Linked DNA regions of Arabidopsis thaliana. The protein of the gene in region 2 purifies or fractionates together with the protein of the main gene of each other region. This does not show direct contact. Each region holds a gene or a part of one and is shown on either strand. Other genes may lie near its edges. The genes, in order: FY and PCFS4.

Region 1 (10,610 bases), on a different chromosome or scaffold from region 2:
TAATGGATATTCTGGCCAGATCTTTGGATTTGGGAGCAGTGGAGGGCCGGTTTGTTCTGCATCCCAAGTGTTTGGCTCCTATGATCACTCATTTGAGTTTTGCAGATGATATTTTGGTTTTCTGTGATGGGTCTCTGTCTTCTCTTGCTGCCATCCTGGATATTCTAGATGTGTTTAAGAAAGGTTCGGGCCTTGGAATTAATCTGCAGAAGACGGCCTTACTTTTAGATGGTGGTAACTTTGAAAGGAATCGGATTAAGGCAGCTAGTCTTGGTGTTTCACAAGGTTCTCTGCCTGTCCGTTATTTAGGCTTGCCTCTTATGTCCCAAAAAATGAAAAAGCACGATTACCAGCCTCTTGTGGATAGGATAAATTCAAGGTTCTCGTCTTGGACTGCAAGGCACCTCTCCTTTGCGGGTAGATTGCAGCTCTTGAAATCTGTTATTTACTCCACAATCAACTTCTGGGCTTCGATATTTATCCTCCCCAACCAATGCCTTCATAAGTTAGAGCAGTTGTGCAACGCGTTCTTATGGTCCGGAGCTCCAAACTCAGCTCGTGGTGCAAAAATCTCTTGGGATATAGTGTGTTCTTCTAAGGAAAGTGGTGGATTGGGTTTAAAAAGATTATCTTCTTGGAATAAGGTCCTGGCTCTCAAGCTGATTTGGCTGTTGTTTACTGCTTCGGGTTCCTTATGGGTCTCTTGGGTTCGGTTGCATCTAATCGGCCGTAGGAACTTTTGGAATCTTAATCCCTATCTCTCGGGCAGCTGGGTTTGGAGGAAGCTCTGTAAACTTAGAGAAGTTGCTCGTCCTTTTGTTATTTGCGAAGTTGGTTCAGGAATCACTGCTAGCTTTTGGCAGGATAACTGGACAGGTCATGGACCGCTTATACACTTAACGGGGTTGACCGGTCCTCAGCTGGTTGGGCTTTCCATTACCTCTGTTGTCAGGGACGCCATTAGGAACGATGACTGGTGGATTGCCTCTAGTAGAAGCAGGAATCCGGTTATTCTTCTTCTGAAATCTCTTCTTCCTCCTGTTGGGAATTTGGTTGATTGTGAGCATGATGACTCTTATCTTTGGAAAGTAGGTGATCGGGTGCCTTCTTCAAAGTTTTCTACAGCGGATACTTGGAGAGCTCTCCAACCGTTCTCTGTCTCAGTCTCTTGGCACAAGGCAGTTTGGTTTACAAATCAGGTTCCTAAGCATGCTTTCATCTCATGGGTAACTGCTTGGAATAGGCTACACACTCGGGACAGGTTAAGAAGTTGGGGGCTCCTTGTTCATGCTGAGTGTGTTCTGTGTAACTTGGTCGATGAAACTCGGGACCATCTCTTCTTTGCTTGTAGGTTCAGCTCAAGAATTTGGACCTTCTTTATGAGGGCGGTTGGATTTTCGCCGCCTCCTCAGTTCATGAATTGCTTGCTGTGGCTTAATTCGGCTACAAGGGACAAGAATCTAATGCTCATTATCAAGCTTCTCTTCCAAGCTTCTGTCTACTTTATTTGGAAAGAGCGTAATGCTCGTATTCAATTTGAAATCAGGCGGCCTTCTCATCTTATCACTAAGGAAATTCAGATGGTGATAAGGGCTCGGTTGGATCCTCTCTCTCGCTCCCGCGCTCCTGGGAGATCCGGACTCTCGCTTTTGGGTTCTTGGTTTTCTCTCTTCCTCAATAGAGATCCTCCTCAAGTCTGATGCTTTCTCCTTGTGCAGGTTTTCAAAGGGTCGGGCTTTGGTGTTCTAGCTCCTTCGCCGTCTGCTGTGGTGGCTTGGGTCTTCTGGGCTTCTGCCTTTGATCTAGCCTTTTAAACTTGTATTTGGTTGTTTTTTGTTCTTTCAGGCCTGCGTGCTGTGTTGGCCTTTTGGCTTTGTATTGCAACTTTTTTTGGTTAATTGGAAATTTATGAAAAAAAAAAAAAAAAAAAAAAAAGTTTGTCGGGTTAACGAAAACTAGAGTATTTGACATGTGAAGCCACTAAAACTTCGTAACTTGTTCACATTAAGTATCAAAACTAGAGTATTATGACTGTGGTCACTTAACATAAAATATATGAATTTAATTATTAAAAATACAAAAAAGACATGTGCCATAAATCATAGTATTTCATCAATACTTTCTCCACATGGAAGTTGTTACTATGCTCAAATATTTTACGGGTGCAAAAAATTCTAATACAAATTATTTGCATATTGGAACAGAACAAAAACCTTTTTTTTTTATGTTTTGTTTTATAGAAACGAAATTTGAATCCCATATAATAGTTTTACTTCAATCGTTTTATCCCGCAGACAGTGCGGTTGTAAACTAATGTACTAATACAACGGCTGCCTACTGATGTTGCTGATTGTTGTTTGGTGGAGGGCCAGGAGGTAAAGGTGGCTGCTGCTGCTGCACGAAATAAAATATAGACAACGGATTAGTCAACGGATTATGCTATTTTAGCTCTACATTTTCAACATCTAATCATACCATTGAACCTAGCTAGTGAGTTTAAAACTAGCTGAGAAAGTTGTATTGTGGTTCAATCGTATCAGGTGTTTTGCATTGTTGTGTAGACATTTTGCCTATTTGCACATATATACATGTGAAACCTTTACGGGTATACTAAATAACAAAAGACTAGTGTTTAAATGGGACCTGTTGGAAAGGGTTGTTGTAGCCTGGAATCATCTGTGGACGGTTGAAACCACCACGTCCTTGGGGATACATTTGGGGTCCGCCACTGTTTGGTTGTCCTTGAAATACTCCTGAAGGAGCACCCATAAAATGACTTTGCGACATCTGAGGATTCATGCCACCTTGCATTCCCTACTCCAACAACAAGTGAGGATTAATATCTCTTTCTACACCTCTCTAAGATATCACTAAGAAAATAAAACAAAGAGGAATCCAACACATGGGGTACCGACAAAAGCCAGGCTTAAGTTGTGGTTGAATTACAAGAGATCTGAGGGCCATACCATTGATCCAGGCATCTGATGAGACATAGGCATTGAGGGAGGTGGCATGTGACCGTGAGGAGGCATTTGCATAGGCCGGGGAAGATGATGAGGGTGCAATGGCATATGAGATGATGGTGGTAGCTGATGGTGAGGCATATTGGGCATTGGAAGCATTTGCTGGGGATGACCTTGGTGTTGTTGTTGTTGCTGATACCCTTGCTGCTGGCCACTTCCAAGAAGCGATGGGTGGGGACCAGGTGGCAAAGGAGGAGCCCCCAGTGCCATGGAACCTGGAAGAGGCTGTTTATGATCCCCTTGAGAGGATGCATCAAATGGCATTGCTATTCCTATTCCTGGGATAGTCCCCTCGTTCCGTGTCAACCCAGGCACAAATGCTCCAGGGATTGGCGATGCCTCAGATGGTTGGAAATTATCAGGTTGGCGACCAAAACCTTGTTCATTATAGCCTGATACAAATTACGCTTATCAGTACACACAAATCACATCTTCAATTTGTTAGTAAACACTAAATAAAAAACACTAATTTCTGACAAATGCAACTTGAAAGTACATGCTCAAAATTAAAACAGTAAGTGAGATACTAATGACCGAGTACTTGGGTCTGAGTTTTTAAAGCCTGTAGAAATCTGCACCTATATCAGATCAGCTCAGCTTGACCAGTCAAGTCTGTTCTTTTCTACAAAAAAATTCAGTTAATCACGGTGCCATATGGCTGGCCGAGCCTGAACCTTAAAAAGCCAAGGTCCATTTCGAACCAGCCATTATAGGAGTATATGACTGACCCTGCCAGGGCCTGACCAGTTAAGCCTATCACAACATCCTTACTACTGAGATGGATAAGGACATAGTAATTATGTACTACCCACAACCTATCCATCCCAATGCCTACTAAAAAATCAGATACTAATAGCCCAAAAACAAACCTTGGTTCTGCATAAGAACATCTCGGGGATTATCTGCAGGCCTGTTTCTGCACCAAAACTTGGTTGTGTGATCATTGCTACCACTGCAGATAATAGGGTTAAAAATCATTATCTGAAGCATTTAGTTATTCAAGAGCACAGGGAACCACAACACATCATAGAATAAAACTGTAAGGAACTCATAGCACCAGACTATTGAAATTGCTACCTGCAAAGAAGATATCCAATAGGATGCCATGCAAGATCCCAAACACTGTTATCATGAGCATTTGGGATTTCAATCTGCGGGTTTTCATGCCTGGGAATTAAGAAAAGTTTTCATAATTAGATACACCTCAAACAAAAACCACAAAATATAAGGTAAAGTAAGATGCTACTAGACTACTAGTATGTAGATGCATCATGACTGAATATAAAATGTAGAGAAGAAACATGATTTAAAAAACCCTTATAAGTGATTAAAACAATAGCAGCATGAACGAATAAATAAAACAGCATACTGCTGCACAACAGTACCTACCCCACAATCCAATGACAAATGGAGCCGTCAGAGCTCCCACTGACAAAATATTCTTCATGGCAGGGATGCCACGCCAAAGCTTAAAAAGAGTTAAGACAACTTTTAATTAGAAATAGTTGCAAATTAGAAATATCGAAGAAACAAATTGAAAACTCGCATCCATGGGATAATGTCTCATATGTCGACAAGTAAAGCATGGGTACAATGATAATCTTTCAAAGGCATATACTCTAGAGTCCTAGTCAATGTACAGAAAAGTAATTTGATGCGGCCAGTTTGTCTGATTTCACGTGTTTAAAACATGATCATTATAGAATTTGACAGCTTACATGTTACATCTTTCGTGTGCCCACGAAAGGATTGAAGCTCCTTCATAGTCCTTATATCATACAGCTGCAGATTACATGCATAAGTGTCATACAAATGCTTCCATAATGCAAGGAAAAAATCTCATTTACAAATCAATATCCCCCCCCCCCCCCCCCACCCAAAAGAAAGTGAGACTTACCTTAATTATCTGATCTTTCGAGGCCGTTAAAAGCCAATTGCCATTTTGGTTCCACTTCACGCTAAGTACTATGTTTTTGTGACCATGGCTGCAGAAGTAAGAATAGGCCATCAAATTCGTCAAAGCTTTGAACATGAAACTATAATAAAATTACATATTACATTATGTACTACTTACAGTGAGCAAAGCTCTCTCCCAGATCTAGTATCCCAGAGTTTGACAAGTTGGTCTTTTCCACCTGACAACACAGATTAAAGCGGTTAATGATCAGCCATAGAGAAGCTCTGAAATATACAGCGGTTTCTTTTTATTGCATTATTCAAATAGAAGTCTATAAAATAATGTACCAGAAACTAGTAGGGACTTTGTGGGGTGCCAGTCAACGCTCTTGACATCCCAACCATGGCCTGCCTGAGTTCAAAATATAAAGAACCCTTTGATTACTTCGAAAGTTCTCAAATATTACAAATATGAAGAAAACTGTGAAAACATGCCTCCAAAAGGATAGGAAACTTGTTATAAGCACCAATTTGGAACCTTTAAAACTAACTAACGTTACATGGCATGACACCAAAGCGAATCTCAATGACACCTTTTCCTATGTAGCCTAAGAATCCAATTCTAATAACGTACAGCACATCTCAAGCGGCCTTCTAAATTCAAATTAGAAGAGCAAGCAACAAAGAAATAAAGTATCTGCCGCCAATCTGTTCAAATAACATTACCGGTTAATGAGCTTTCATCTACGCACTTGGTAAAATCCCAGACTTTAACAGTCGTATCATCAGAACACGAACAGAACTTCAAATCTGTTTTACAAAAACTGTTGGATACACATTGTTCAGTTTTGAGAGATTCATTTAATGCAATTCAACATATCAAACTTTTTTTTACCTTAAATCGCGAATTGATTCCTTGTGAGCAGTTTTATTGGCTTTCACATTGTTCATATTGTTCTGCCAATACCTGATACATAAGAAACAATTGATCCTTATTGTCACAGCATTTGAATCATAGAATTCTGAGCTTCTCGTTTACAACATCATAAGTTAGGGACTGAAAGGGAAAAACAAATTTACTTTAATGTGCCTCCATCATCACCAGAAACCATATAATTTTCATTGTGGCTCCATACCATCGACCTAATAGGTTGATCATGTGCCTGATATTGACAACAAATTTAAACAGTCAATACCAGGAGCAGCAACTATAGAAGAATCAAAACAGAAGTTTCAACAGATTAGTTATACAATCTGAGAAACGAACCTGAAGAATCATTTCAAAATTAAAAGATTGCCCATTCCAAAGAGTAAACTCCCCACTTTGGGAGCCCGTGATAAGACGTCTTCCTGAAGGTGTCCACTAAATAAAAGAAACCCAATCAGCAATGATCCCATTAAGTTGGCATAATAGAGTTAAAACAAAGAAAGAAAGATGTTGCTTTCTTGAATAGATAAACATGGCAAACAGAGAATAATACAAAACACACAGCTGGTAGAGGGATATACCAATACACGGTTGATTGAACAACGGTTCTTGTTTAGAGATGCGTGAACAAACTTTGCAGCAAAGCTTGTTGAAGGATTATCCGAATAGGCAACTGTGGGAAGCATCTGAAGCATTGATATAAAAGTTAGATCAGTAAACCATTCAATCTTATTGCAAAACCCAGAAAAGCAAAGAAATCTAACATCAACTGCTGCAGCTGGGGTTGGTTGCAGAGTGGTCCTATCCCTTGAGTCTCGCTGCCATGTTCGAGCCTGAACAAAAACATATATGGAGTAAACACTCTCTACTTTTAGTTCCATATAAAGTATGAGTTCGTTGAACTACATATCCATATCAGTTCCATGACATAAAGACAATCCTATCTAATGGCTTTTGAGATAAAAAGGACCGAAGAATTCAACTGGGGAAAGCAGAGGCTATGAGTATATAGACCAAGACTAAAACTTTACAGAAAACAAGAGAAATATAATCAAGCAGTACAAAAGGTTCTAACAAAGAAATACTGTGAGCAGCAATGGGAATACATTACCTGAATATATCTAACAACGGTGCTGGTGTAATCAACAGCTCTTCTCTGTGTATGCTTTCTCATTCGTTTCGCCCCAAAACTGTCTACATTGGCTGCAACATCAGACAGAGAGACATTAAATCTCACAGTCATCACTAATCCGATAAAAGGAAGACGCTCAAAGTCTACTTACGGTCGAAGGGGCCAGATGGGTGGTGGTAGTCGGGATTGATGTTAGTGGAAGAAGCTGACGACTGCCGCATCATCGGTGGTTGTGGCATCTGTGAACCCCTGTGCATATCGCCGCCGGCGTACATTGTTGCCCACGGAGAACAGTGATTTATTCGAATCGAAGGGAAACTGCGAAAGTGTTCGAATTTAGGTTACCTTGAAACGAGCGTGGATCTCTCTTTAGGGTGTGCGTGTATCAAATTCGCGAATTGATGACAACCCAAGAGCAGAGAAGTACAATGGGTAGAGAAATGATGAGAAGTCGATAATGGAGTGAAGAGTAGAAATAAATCTTAGGGTTTTTTTTTCTTCCTTCTCGGCAAGCCAAACCCTCGATCGCCGGTCGGTTTTAACCGATAAGATTAATAAAATCATCAAACTAATCAAGAAGTCGATTGGTTTAGCTTTTTTAATCTCCACGATTTTTTTATTTTTTTTTTTATTTTTTTTTTTTTGGGTGTATGTTGTTACTTGGCCTACCCTATCAATTAGACACATATGTTCAGGCTGAACTATGTATTGCGAGTAGGAAATAACGGATGAGTTTGTTTAGTAAACCCATCCGTCGGCCTTCCGGTTGATCAACAAGCTCGAGGAGTGTATCTTAAGCAACTAACCGCGAGATGGCATGAAAAAGATCTGAAGAACTGTTGAGATCAACGAGATTCTAGGGTGGATACTGCGGATCGGGCAGGACACGTGAAGGACGACTATAAAAGAAAGAGGAAGAAGAATGAATAGAGGCATCGCCATTAACATTAAGAAAATCCTAGTATTGTATTCACATCGAACTCTAATGTCCCAAAGTGTGGTTTTTTCTAGTATTGTTGTTGTTTTACTGCTTATTTCACAATCATGACAGAGTGTGTGTATGAATTGTAGATGAAAACACACACATAATTCACGTATTCATAGTGGAACATATTGAATAAATATTCAACCCAAAGATAGTGGTGATGCAAATTAGTCTTTTTTTTTAAAACATTAAAATAACTAAATATTTGAAAGAGTTAAAAGTAAAAGAAAAAAAAACTGACACTAGTAAAACGAATTACAAAAATTCAGAAAATGTTACAATCTTTTTTTTTTTGGTTTAATGTTAAATTAAATGTTATAATCTTGTCATATTAGAACTTAAAATCTCCCAAATAACAAAAAAAAAAAAAAATCGATATACGTTATTCCAAACAAGATTCACTACATCCCAATGGCAATGCTATATGAAACACAATCCCAATCCGCTATTATATTCCACTACGAAACTTAATCATGTTAAAACCCTGTTTTGCACTTATAGAGTATAAATAGACTATGTTAACAGGTTTCAACATTTTTTTTTTTTTGGTTTAATGTTAAGATTTATACCAAATGAAAAAAGGTTTACATAGTACAATGAAACCCCAAAAACACACCGAGCTCTTGTGAAGAGAGACTAATGGAACACCATACATACATAAATATGAGCTTTGCCACACCTATAGTGGGGTACTAATACAACCAAAGTAGAATCCAAGGAGAGAGATAGTGGTAACTGATTCCTCCGGCGAGAAGGAGATGAGACGGTTACGCATTGTGCGATCAACGAGAATTTTTGTAGCGGAGAGAGAGGTAGCATCTGCTGAGAAATCTCTGCGGTTGCGCTCTTTCCAAATCATATAAACAGCGGTTTGAAGAAGAAGTTTTAAGATCTTACTTGCATAGTGCGGCGGAGAAGAATGTACACCAAGAACCCACATAGAAGCCAAGGGTAAAGAGAGTGGAGGATTCGGCGAAATCCTTCCAGCGAGCGAAATCCAAAGTGATCTAGAAAACTCACATTTGAAGAACAAGTGATCATGGGAATCAAGGCCAGAATCACACAGAACACAAGAACCATGTACATTCATACCCCACTGTAAAAGCCTATCTCTCGTTGTCAACCTTTCATGGGAAGCCATCCAAAGGATAAATGAAAACCTTGGGACAGATTCCTTAAACCAGACAGCTTTATGCCAAGCCACATGAGGAGAAATTTGTCTAATTTGCATCCAAGTTCCTTTCGAAGAGAATGTTTCAGAAAAAGTACCTGTGGGCTGCTTCCATTGGTACCAATCAGCACCTCTTAAAGGAGAAGGCGGGGCAACCGAGGACAAGCAAATCTGCAACTGCTCAGCTTGGTGAGATCTCGCATTGGGAAAATGCCATTGACCTTCATGTGTAGCTTCCCAAACGCTAGCATTTCTACTGATCCGAAGCTCTCTTGGGCCCAACTGACCAAAAAGCTCAATAAGGGGACCAAGGCTTGTCCAATAATCAAACCAGAAAGAGGCTTTCATACCGTCTCGCATCTGACATTTAATCAATCTCTGGAACACAGATTTTACTTCCAACATCTTCCTAATGTTCCAAGATAGACGTGGTGTGCTATCCATCAACCAATAGTTCCTTCTTCCGAAGATGTTATGGTCCAACCACATAACCCACAATGAGCCCCTTCTAGTAAAGAGGTGCCAAACCTGTTTCAACCTGAAAACAGTAGCAAATTCCTCAAGAGATCGAATACCTAACCCACCCTCCTCTTTTGTCTTACAAATGTCCTTCCAAGCAACTCTTGCACCTCTTGCAGACGAAGTAGTATTTTTCCACAAAAAAGCAGAGCAGAGATTGTCAATTTTCTTATAAAAACCCTTTGGTAGAACAAAGACTTGACTCCAGAAGTTCACTTTCCCATAAACAACAGATACTATTAACCGGATTTTCCCAGCATAAGAGAGAAACTTGGTTGTCCAGGAGTTAAGCTGCTCGGTAATCTTTTGAATAAAAGGTTGAAGTGTGGCAAGAGAAAGCTTAGTCGGGTTCAGCGGCAAGCCAAGATACCGAGAGGGAAAAACACCTATTCGAATCCCAATCAAGTCAGCAATAACAGCAGCTTCAGAATCCCCATAACCTCCAAAAAACAGCTCAGACTTTGAAGGGTTCATGTCCAAACCGGAAAAGGAATGGAAAGTTTGCAGTATACCACTAATACCAAGGAGAGAGTGCTGAGAACCATCTGAGAAAACCAATAAATCATCTGCGAAAGCTAGATGAGTTAGGCGAGGAGTGATACACAAAGGATGAGCAGAAAACTTGCCCTCCAACAGCCCACTGTCCAACATTCTGGATAACACCTCCATTACCAAAATAAAGAGATAAGGAGAGATACAATCACCTTGCCTTAAACATGCCTTTATGTGAAGATGAACATATTGACTGATCTTGCACCTTTCCATTTTCAACATGCCTTTATGTGAAGATGAACAAACATGAGCTGAAAACAAAGAAGGTGAAGCACAACCAAAGTGACATAGCATACTTTAGAGCTAGATAGAAGACGTGGGATTTAGAGCTCTTCAAGAGTCAAGGCAAATACATTTGGACTGGGATGAGGCAGCATCACAAGCCTTCCCAACCATTACTGAAT
Region 2 (9,348 bases):
CGAACGACAATGCGAGCGGCTTGCTAGCTCCATGGCCAGCAACATTCCTGGTGATCTTTCCGGTAGGGGCTATTCTGATCAATTCAAATATGTTGGGGCTAAATTAAATGAAAACGTTAGTTTTAATTTTTACTAATTTGGTCCTTATAATTTATGGTAATTAATATATGTAGTGATAACGAGTCCTGAAGGAAGGAAGAGTATGTTGAAGCTAGCTGAGAGAATGGTTATGAGTTTCTGCAGTGGTGTTGGCGCGTCGACTGCACACGCTTGGACAACAATGTCGACAACAGGATCCGATGATGTTCGGGTCATGACCCGCAAGAGTATGGATGATCCAGGAAGACCTCCGGGTATTGTTCTTAGTGCAGCTACTTCATTCTGGATCCCAGTTGCTCCCAAACGTGTTTTTGATTTCCTCCGTGACGAAAATTCAAGAAAAGAGGTAATGCAAAAGTTTAAAATTATTACTTCAGACCAAATTGAATAAACAAAGAAAATAGGGTTAGAACCTTGCGAGTCACGATTTGTAGATTTAGGTTTGTTAATTTAGGTTTTGAACTTTGATGCAGTGGGATATTCTGTCAAATGGAGGTATGGTTCAGGAAATGGCTCATATAGCCAATGGTCATGAACCTGGAAACTGTGTCTCCTTGCTCCGAGTCAATGTAAGACTTGACATTATTAACTATCGATATTTTCTCTTTGTTTTATCGTTTTCAGATTGAGGAAACTTTGTTGTTGTTGTAAACAGAGTGGAAACTCGAGCCAGAGCAACATGTTGATTCTACAAGAGAGCTGTACAGATGCATCAGGATCGTATGTGATTTACGCGCCAGTGGATATAGTGGCGATGAATGTGGTTCTAAGCGGTGGAGATCCTGATTACGTGGCGTTGTTGCCGTCTGGTTTTGCTATTTTACCGGATGGTTCGGTTGGAGGAGGAGATGGGAATCAGCATCAGGAAATGGTTTCTACTACTTCTTCTGGGAGTTGTGGTGGTTCGCTTTTAACCGTTGCGTTTCAGATTCTTGTTGACTCTGTTCCTACAGCTAAACTCTCACTTGGCTCGGTGGCTACGGTTAATAGTCTGATCAAATGTACGGTGGAGAGGATTAAAGCTGCTGTTTCTTGTGATGTTGGAGGAGGAGCGTAGTTTTTTTTCAGGTATGATTCCACAACTAAGATCTTAACCGAATGGGATTCTTGTGGAGCAAGTAACAAGTGTTTTTTCCTTATGCAGAAGAAGTAAGAATAAGAGAAAAGGAAGGATTAAGAGCGGTTATGGTTTCTCATTTTGTGTTTTTTGAAATCCAAAGGAAGTCAAGAACGCACCTTTTGCGTTTAATTTCATCTCAAGCTGATGAAAAAAGGTAAAGTGGTTCGGGTATTGACTTCTGCTGGAAACCACGGTTTTAAATTGTCTATTTTGCGTTTCGTTGACAGTTTTTTGAACACCTTTTGGGTTTCCCCTTTTTGCGTTCTCCGACCCAAGTTGTCAGTTTCTTTGTTGTTTTGTATTGTAAGCCCTTTTGTTGCACTTGACAGATATGGAGTTAAAATCTTTGTTATTAGTACACTACTAGTTTCTGTTAGCTCTCTCTTATCCCATTCAACCAACGGTCCAATTTTCTAACAAAGGCAAAATAAAAGGGCAATGATGTGTGTTCTTAACCTGATCTTTTGTTCTAGCTTAGTTCATATTGCATATTGCAAGCTGTTTTCTTATATTCATACTATAATAGACTATTTTCACAATGTATATAACAAACATGAATTTTACTCCAGCCATTACATCTATTGATCATCACATACTCTTGTTTAGAGACTAACGGTTGAGACAAAGCCAGATTTGAACTGAGTTTGCTCTGCAGTCCTATAAGGTACTACCAGAACTAAATCATAACCTTTAAATCTTTATAATTCCATATTTCAAATGTAACAGTCATGAAAAAACTCTAGTTTGATCGAGCAAAAAGCCAAGTAAGTTCGAAAGCTTTAACTATCGTTCAATCTACTTCGACATAAATCCGGCTCTGTATCATGTAGGTATGAAGATACAAGTAGTGGAAATTTCAAAAGCAAAAGGTTCAGATAGAAGAAAAGTAAAACTTGTTTCATTATAGACAAAGTCAAGAGAACAAATACGCTTAAAGAGAGTTATGTTAACTAACATTTTTAGCTAACAGCCTAACATAGAAAGGTAAAACTCAGACAGGGAAAGCTCTAAAGAAGAAACCTGAAACTGGTTCTCTTAGCAACAGCATCTATGAGATCCATTCATCATAAGAAATCTGTTCACATTCGAATATCAGTCTTCTCGGGCTTTCCCTGCAATATCTAAAGATGAAAAAGAAAAAGACAATCCGAAACAGAGACATTGTATTCCATTTACATGGGGAAACTACTGTTGCGACATCTGATTTTACTACTACAAGCACCCCAGGTTAGGTGTAGCAGAGAATGCAGAACAGTTACACGATATCCATGTCCTAAGGCACAACAGGAATTTAGAGGCATAAAGAATGATAATATATGTGGGTGTAAACCTCTTTTTTTCAATGGTACAGTTTTAGGAGAAAGAAGACTCTCTCCATCATTTCTCTTCATTGGTGGTATTCTGTGACTAAGTGCATATAGATGATGAAGAAATAAGAATGTAACTTAAATGTAGTCAAGAAAAAGACCTAAAATTCGGTCTAAGGGATCTAACTCCGCATCTTTTTCCTCTGACTACCCTCTTCCATATCACCCTGAAAAAGCCATGATCGGGAAATCAAGAGGTCGTCACTGGATAAATGTCTAGCAGCGAAAATGAAAATGGATTCAACTAGACACAAATGAAGCTAATGAAAATGCATGGAATGGCTTACCCCATTGGACTCTGGCCTGCACTTTGCATGCACTATAGGACCTAACTGAGACTTGTCCATATCTGTTGTTGATTCTTCAGGAGCATTCATGTATACCGCACCTTTGTACATCCATTCCTCGGTTTCATCACTATAAAAGTCTTCAAATGGCTCACCACATAATGCACATGAAGTTTGGTCTTCATCTGCAGGAACTGCCATATCTTCGTCATCCTTCTTTTCTGTTGTTGGCTCCGTGGGCAAGAACCCTGGTACTGCTTCAGCTCCAAGTGCTTCTGCACCACTGAGCCACATGCTAGCACTTACAAACCATTTCCGAGAAGGGTTCTGCTTATGGTTCTTGGACATCCTGTTCTTGGTTACATGCCAATCCATGTGCTTACTGTGCTCTTCTTGGCACTTGAAGCGTAGACCACAGGTTGTGCATTGCCTCGGGAGATCCCCATATAAAGCACTGATTGCAGACTCATTACGTATCTTGAGCATGTCTGCATCAAACTCCAACCCCAATGGTCCCTGAATATATAAACCAACAATTCAAGATAAAGCAATAACTAAGAACAAACCGACTCTCAAGGACATGATTTGAATAATTACCTGACCAGCAGGCTGATTGTTCAATGAGATCAAACCTTGAGCCATGAGAGAGCCAATCAGACCAGAGAATGCGCCACCTGGTGGTTGATTAGAGGCTCCTATCTGAGATAAAACTCCTGAAGAAAGAGGATGCATGGCTTCCCCACCTTGGATTGATAAAGATGGTCTAATGGTTGACCCATGTGGAGGGTACCCATGACTTACGTGGGTTAACAACGATTGCATTGGCCTTGGAGCCATAGCAGATGAGGATGGCAAATAATTAACTAGCATCTGATTCTGTTGAGTCATATCATTAAGATGACTCTGAGAGACCTGGTTTTCGGGCCTATATAAAGGCTTACCTTGCAAGCGATTTGACATCGCATTACCGGGATTTGCCAAATGATGCAAATGAGCAGAAGGTACAGGGAGAGAGTTGGGTCCTCTAGCACTCAAATGGGGCCATGTCCCATCAGGAAGAGCCCGGCCAAAACGTGAGTTAACATCTTGAATGCTATCAAATGGAGGAGCCCCGAATTCACTGTTTGATGAAACTAACCCTACAGATGAAGCCAATACTTTCAAGTCTTTTCCTGCTCTTGTATCAACACGGTTGGATGTATGTGGATAATTTTGTGACAAACTCCAATTTTCTCGTAGCTGATGACTTACACCATTCTTAATGTCAGAATCTAAATGAAAATCACTTGTGTTTCCTACTCTGGGTCTTGCCCTTACACTTCCTAATGCTGGTACAGATGATCGCAAAAATTCACCAGCTCTGCTACGATCTAGGGTAGGGCTCATATCTTCCCAATCAAACTCTTCTTCCTCAGTGTTCTGCCATGGTGTAACCATCTTACTGTGCATGCCATTCATATCGCGAATTGGTTTATTGATCGTTACGTGTTTGCTGGTGTCAACTCCATATGCATCTATCAACGCTCTAGGTCTTTCGTGATCATTTCCTTGGCCTAAGTTTTCCTTTCTTCGCCATTCCATATGTTCATCATCTCTGCTAGTAGCTCGACCCATTCCATAGTTAAAAGCTTGATTAGAAGGATTAGCTCCATCATTAGACCTCCTGGTAAAACCATCTGGTGTACTAGACAGTGAAGATGGGCTCTCTAACTGATCTTCGAAATCATTATACCCACCGAGTGAATTTTGGCCATAAACTCTTGCACTGGAATTAATTCCTCTCAAATTCTGCATGTCAAGCAAGAGCAATTAAGGAAATATGCATCTCAGGTATAGTCACTCTTTGAAAAAAAACATATAAAAACAGTTCCAAACGACACATGATGCATAAACAGTGATCTACTGTACTATAACCAAAAAAAAACCCTCTACATGTGCTAACAAGATCATTTCTAATGTACCAGAGTCCCAGTGACCTACTCATCATGTATAACTGAGAGAGGCCATAACAACAACTCCCTTCCAGTCAAGATTGATTACTTGAAGAATGTAAACATCTATCTCGTCTAACTAACAAAACTTTAAAGAAATACAATGGATAAGACCACTATGAGGCCAAACTAATCTAATACCCGTTTTACTTAGTACACTTATATAAAATTAACACACCATAGCTTCAAGGTTGCAGATGCACCTAAAAAAAGAATGTCATCTCTGTTCATAATGACAAAGAGAAAGGCTTACATTTTCGGCGGCTGAGGGCTCCAGCCTGCGAAGATATTTTGGATTAACATGTATACCTCTCGTTGGTTGACTAGGCTCAGAAGCCCCTACGGAAGATTGGTTTGCTGCAGATGAAAGTTGCAATTGCATATCAATCTTGCGTAGTACAGGTGGTGGAAAAACACTCGACCAAGTCCCAAACAGGTGACGCATTGACGGATGTAAACTCGGATGTGCTTGCCTATATGCAAGGCAGAAGACCTAAAGCAGAATAGGATCAAAACAGCTCATGGGTATGCTTCAGCCCTATTCAAATCATTTAAGTAAACATCTTCTTGTAGACTGCTCACCTCGGGTAGACGGGATGAGAAATAGCGACCATAATCCCGCCCAATGTTCTTAACAATGCTGTCTAAAAGATACAGAGATGGCAACTTTTGCTCAACAGGAGCCTGCATATATACACCCACAGGTAACTCAGAAGCAGCCATTTCACTAAACCACAAACCAAACACTAATCTCTGACAATCAAAAACCTAATTTTTTTCCCACTTCTACACTTACATACTATACAATAAGGCTAGAAAGTGGAAACAAATAAGAAGAAAGCAAACCTCAAGGATTCGAGTGCAAATAGCATTAGCGATTCCTTCACCATGTTCCCGTTGTTCACCAGCGATAATAGTGAGATCAGTGATAATAGGCTTAGAATTGAAAGTAAGCTCACCCAAAACAACCTCATAAAGCTGAACAATCTCATCCATACTCGGAGGCAAAACCTCTTCACCACCACCGAACTCATCTTCACGCTGATTAAGCAAAGCTTTAAACCGGTCTAACAACGACGGCGGTGGCGGCGGTTTCTGCGGCAACTCAACGGACATACCTTTGCGGCTGGTGCTATTAATCGAAACAAGTCTTGGATTGAGGATTTTCTCTGAGTCCATCCCCAATTCAATAGTGAAGAGTGATAATTAGTGGCAGCATAAAGGCTCTAGGGTTTCTGTTCCACCATGGAAACTCCTCGAATCGCCACCCTTGTGGGGGAAGAGAGAGATAGAGATCGATAACGGAAGTTTTTTTTTTTTTAGTGAAGAGGATTTTTTTTTCTTCTCAATTTTGTATCTCTACTTTATGCAAATCTCATTTTTGTCCCTTTTTTTTTAGAGTTATCAACTACATCCCAATTATTGTTTTTACCCGTTTTGAGTCACACAGATTTTTGACTTTTACTATGACCTCATCAATTAATCACGTTGCAATTCTCTTCTTTCCCTTATTTGAAAAGTTTGATCTTGCCTCTTGGTGACACTAAATTTAGTTTTGAGGAACTATTTCATTTCTTAGCTTATTTATCTATCTTGATAAAGTTTGAATCTATCTTGTTTTGATTCTACTCATGGACTATGAATGATTTTTTTTTTGGTAGACAATTAGATTTTATATTATTTTTGATTTTTGACAGAAATACAGAGATTAGCAAGAAGCGGATTAAAACAATCTACAAAAATAAATACAACATTACAACTCTAATTCATTCAGTTCGCTTTTATGCGTTCAAGGCTAAGTTACGAGTTGAAACACCGATTTTGAACTCGTGAAACTCGGAAATTTGTGTGGTTGTCACATGACCGAAAAAGTGGAATTCTCATGGTAGTTGCCACGAGCATATCTTCGAGAACTTGATTCAAATTGATACAGTTAAAAACACCACCATCAAACCACGTCCTTGTTACGTTTCTTTAAGTTATATTAAAAAAATGTTGGATTAGTTGTATAAAATCCTATAAGGGTTTGAGTTTATTATTACATAATTATAATTATATAGCTTCCTATTTTATAAGTTTAAATTTAATATTTGTTAGTTCCTTTGTTTTTACATTTTAAAATATAAAGTAATTGCTATTTTCAAAAATGTTAATTAATTAGATGCTAAATATGTTAATTATTGATGTGGCAGCTCCCGATTGGTTGTTTTCAAAAATGTTAATTAATTAGATACTAAATATGTTAATTATTTATGTGGCAACTCCCGATTAGTCGTTCTAAATCCTAGGTTATGAATCCACGCTACGCATGGGTCTATTTGTAAAACTTTTTAATATTTTTTTGTGTGAATAAAATTATTATAGAAATTTTTTAAAAGATATGTTTTTATATGTCTACTTGTTGTTAATATTATAAACTCTTTGAATTTTAAAATTACCATGACAATAGTTACAATTTAAATACAAAACTAAAAATAACTTTAATACAACTTTTAGGTTTACAACATTTATCAAAAGAACATTTTTTTGGCTCATGACTCTCTCTTTAGCTTTAGATATTTAGGATCACGACGTCTTTTTATGTATGAAATAAATTGTTTTATGGAAAATAACTTCGACGACTTTCTCATTTTGAAATCCGTAAATTTACTATTCTTTTTTGTTTATCTTCGCTGCATTAGTTAGTATAGCTCGTCTAAAAATAAGATATTATATAGAAGTATATTCATAAGCTTATCTATACTTTACTTTAACAACTCATATTTTCTCACATTCTTTTCAATATGTATATGAATTTCTGTCTTCACAATTTTTTTACAAAGAGCTATCACTCTCCCTATCTTTTTGCAAGCACTCGTTTTATTTGTTTCATTTTTTCTTACAGTGTCTCTTTCCATCCTCTTATGATTTTGTTTAAGCAATATGTGTCATACCTTCTAAACTTTTCACATGTTCCATATTTTTTCTTCGAAAATCTCTTTCTTCTCTAGTTAGTACTAGGGCGAAACCCGAACCAAATCGCGGGCTTTTTTTATTAAAAAATGTAATTTTGTTAAGTTGTATGTAGGTATTGAATGTTATTTGTCATGATTCATGATATATGTAGAACAAAAGAATTCATTAGAAAGTGATTAAGAGCTCAATGCATTTGTTAATTTTTTAAAGTAAGATCTATATAGCTTTTATAAGTTTTGGAAGCTAATTTTTTTGTATTACGAACATCTTTTTAGAAGAGTCATTAAAAAACAAAAGTGAAAAGAGTTAAAAATCACCAGGTGCTGATTCTGGTGAGGTTAAAGTCATTGAAGATTCTTAAGAATATGTTATATGGAGTTATCATATTTGATTTTGATGTTCCATATGCATATTTGATTCATACGTTGAAGAAGTATAAAAAAACTAAAAGCTATGTTTGTTTGTTTTTCAAAACTTGAAAATTGAAACTTATATTATTGGAGAATCGAATAACCATACCAGAAAAGAGATAAATTTAATTAGACCTTAAAAAACAAAAATGACATCTTAGTTGTACTAAAATCTCTAAACCGATTGAATATAATCAAAAAAAATTCAAATGGCTTCATCAACCCATCAATTTATTCATTATCAACACAATATCATCATCATCATTACCCTCTCATAATATCATATTACCATCACCATCATCATCATACTATCTTCTTCATCATCATATCAACATACCATAGTCATGATAGATATCATCATTGATGATAACATTATCATAAACTCGTAATTTTCATGCCAAAAACATAAAATCTTAATTTTTTTGCCAAAAAAGTAATCCCGTAATTTTCCCGCCAAAAAAAGAAATCCGTAATTTTTCCGCCAAAAACGTAAACCCGTAATTTCCGCCAAAAAACCTAAACCTTCAATTTTCCCGCCAAAAAACGTAAAGCCGTAATTTTGCCGCAAAAAAAATGTAAACCCGTAATTTTTCTGCCAAAAACGTAAACCCGTAATTAGCTTGCTAAAAACATAAACCCGTAATTTTTCTACCATAAACGTAAATCCGTTAACCAGTCATAAACCTTCCAAAAATGCACCAATTTTTAACCGTTAAACCAGTCGTTCAAAAAGGTTTATAATGCTTGAAACCGCAACTGTCTGATTCCGTAAACTCATGCAGTCACAAATGCAGGCACTGCGTTTCAACCAGTCAAGCCTTTAGATAAGTTTTCTTAGTCATGGGCATTCGATTATCCATTCAGTATCGATTCGTATCCATTCGGTTATTAGTTCTTTCAGTTATAAAGTTTAGTATCCATTCGGTTATTTTAAAATTATGGTTCGGTTTCAGTTCGGATTCGGTTTTAAAAATTAATATCTATTCGGTTATTTTTCTTTAAATATTTTTAGATATTTTAGTTATTTTTGATATTTTCATATATTTTTGGTTACTTTCGAGTATTTTTACTATTATACGTATATCTATTTTTAATTATTAGGTTTAGAAATAACTAATA

Evidence for each region.
Region 1: the proteins of PCFS4 (region 2) and FY purify together in Arabidopsis thaliana (affinity purification with western blotting, with the first as the bait; one study listed by BioGRID). This does not show direct contact.

The regions. Positions count from the first base shown.
Region 1 is NC_003076.8:4,324,304-4,334,913, forward strand, and holds FY (Transducin/WD40 repeat-like superfamily protein), read right to left. Parts: upstream 7,669-10,610; 5' UTR 7,325-7,668; exon of another isoform or gene 7,255-7,324; coding exon of another isoform or gene 7,219-7,254; coding exon 7,131-7,218; intron 7,051-7,130; coding exon 6,959-7,050; intron 6,750-6,958; coding exon 6,612-6,749; intron 6,534-6,611; coding exon 6,429-6,533; intron 6,283-6,428; coding exon 6,187-6,282; intron 6,083-6,186; coding exon 6,000-6,082; intron 5,887-5,999; coding exon 5,815-5,886; intron 5,744-5,814; coding exon 5,646-5,743; intron 5,328-5,645; coding exon 5,268-5,327; intron 5,159-5,267; coding exon 5,098-5,158; intron 5,009-5,097; coding exon 4,921-5,008; intron 4,806-4,920; coding exon 4,742-4,805; intron 4,492-4,741; coding exon 4,413-4,491; intron 4,191-4,412; coding exon 4,101-4,190; intron 3,976-4,100; coding exon 3,893-3,975; intron 3,416-3,892; coding exon 2,967-3,415; intron 2,815-2,966; coding exon 2,644-2,814; coding exon of another isoform or gene 2,626-2,643; exon of another isoform or gene 2,476-2,625; intron 2,395-2,475; and 4 more.
Region 2 is NC_003075.7:2,468,778-2,478,125, reverse strand, and holds PCFS4 (PCF11P-similar protein 4), read right to left. Parts: upstream 6,261-9,348; 5' UTR 6,044-6,260; coding exon 5,711-6,043; intron 5,549-5,710; coding exon 5,447-5,548; intron 5,358-5,446; coding exon 5,118-5,357; intron 4,662-5,117; coding exon 3,471-4,661; intron 3,390-3,470; coding exon 2,874-3,389; intron 2,754-2,873; coding exon 2,709-2,753; 3' UTR 2,101-2,708; downstream 1-2,100. Other genes in the region: PDF2 (protodermal factor 2), read left to right, coding at 1-62, 174-445, 573-668, 755-1,156.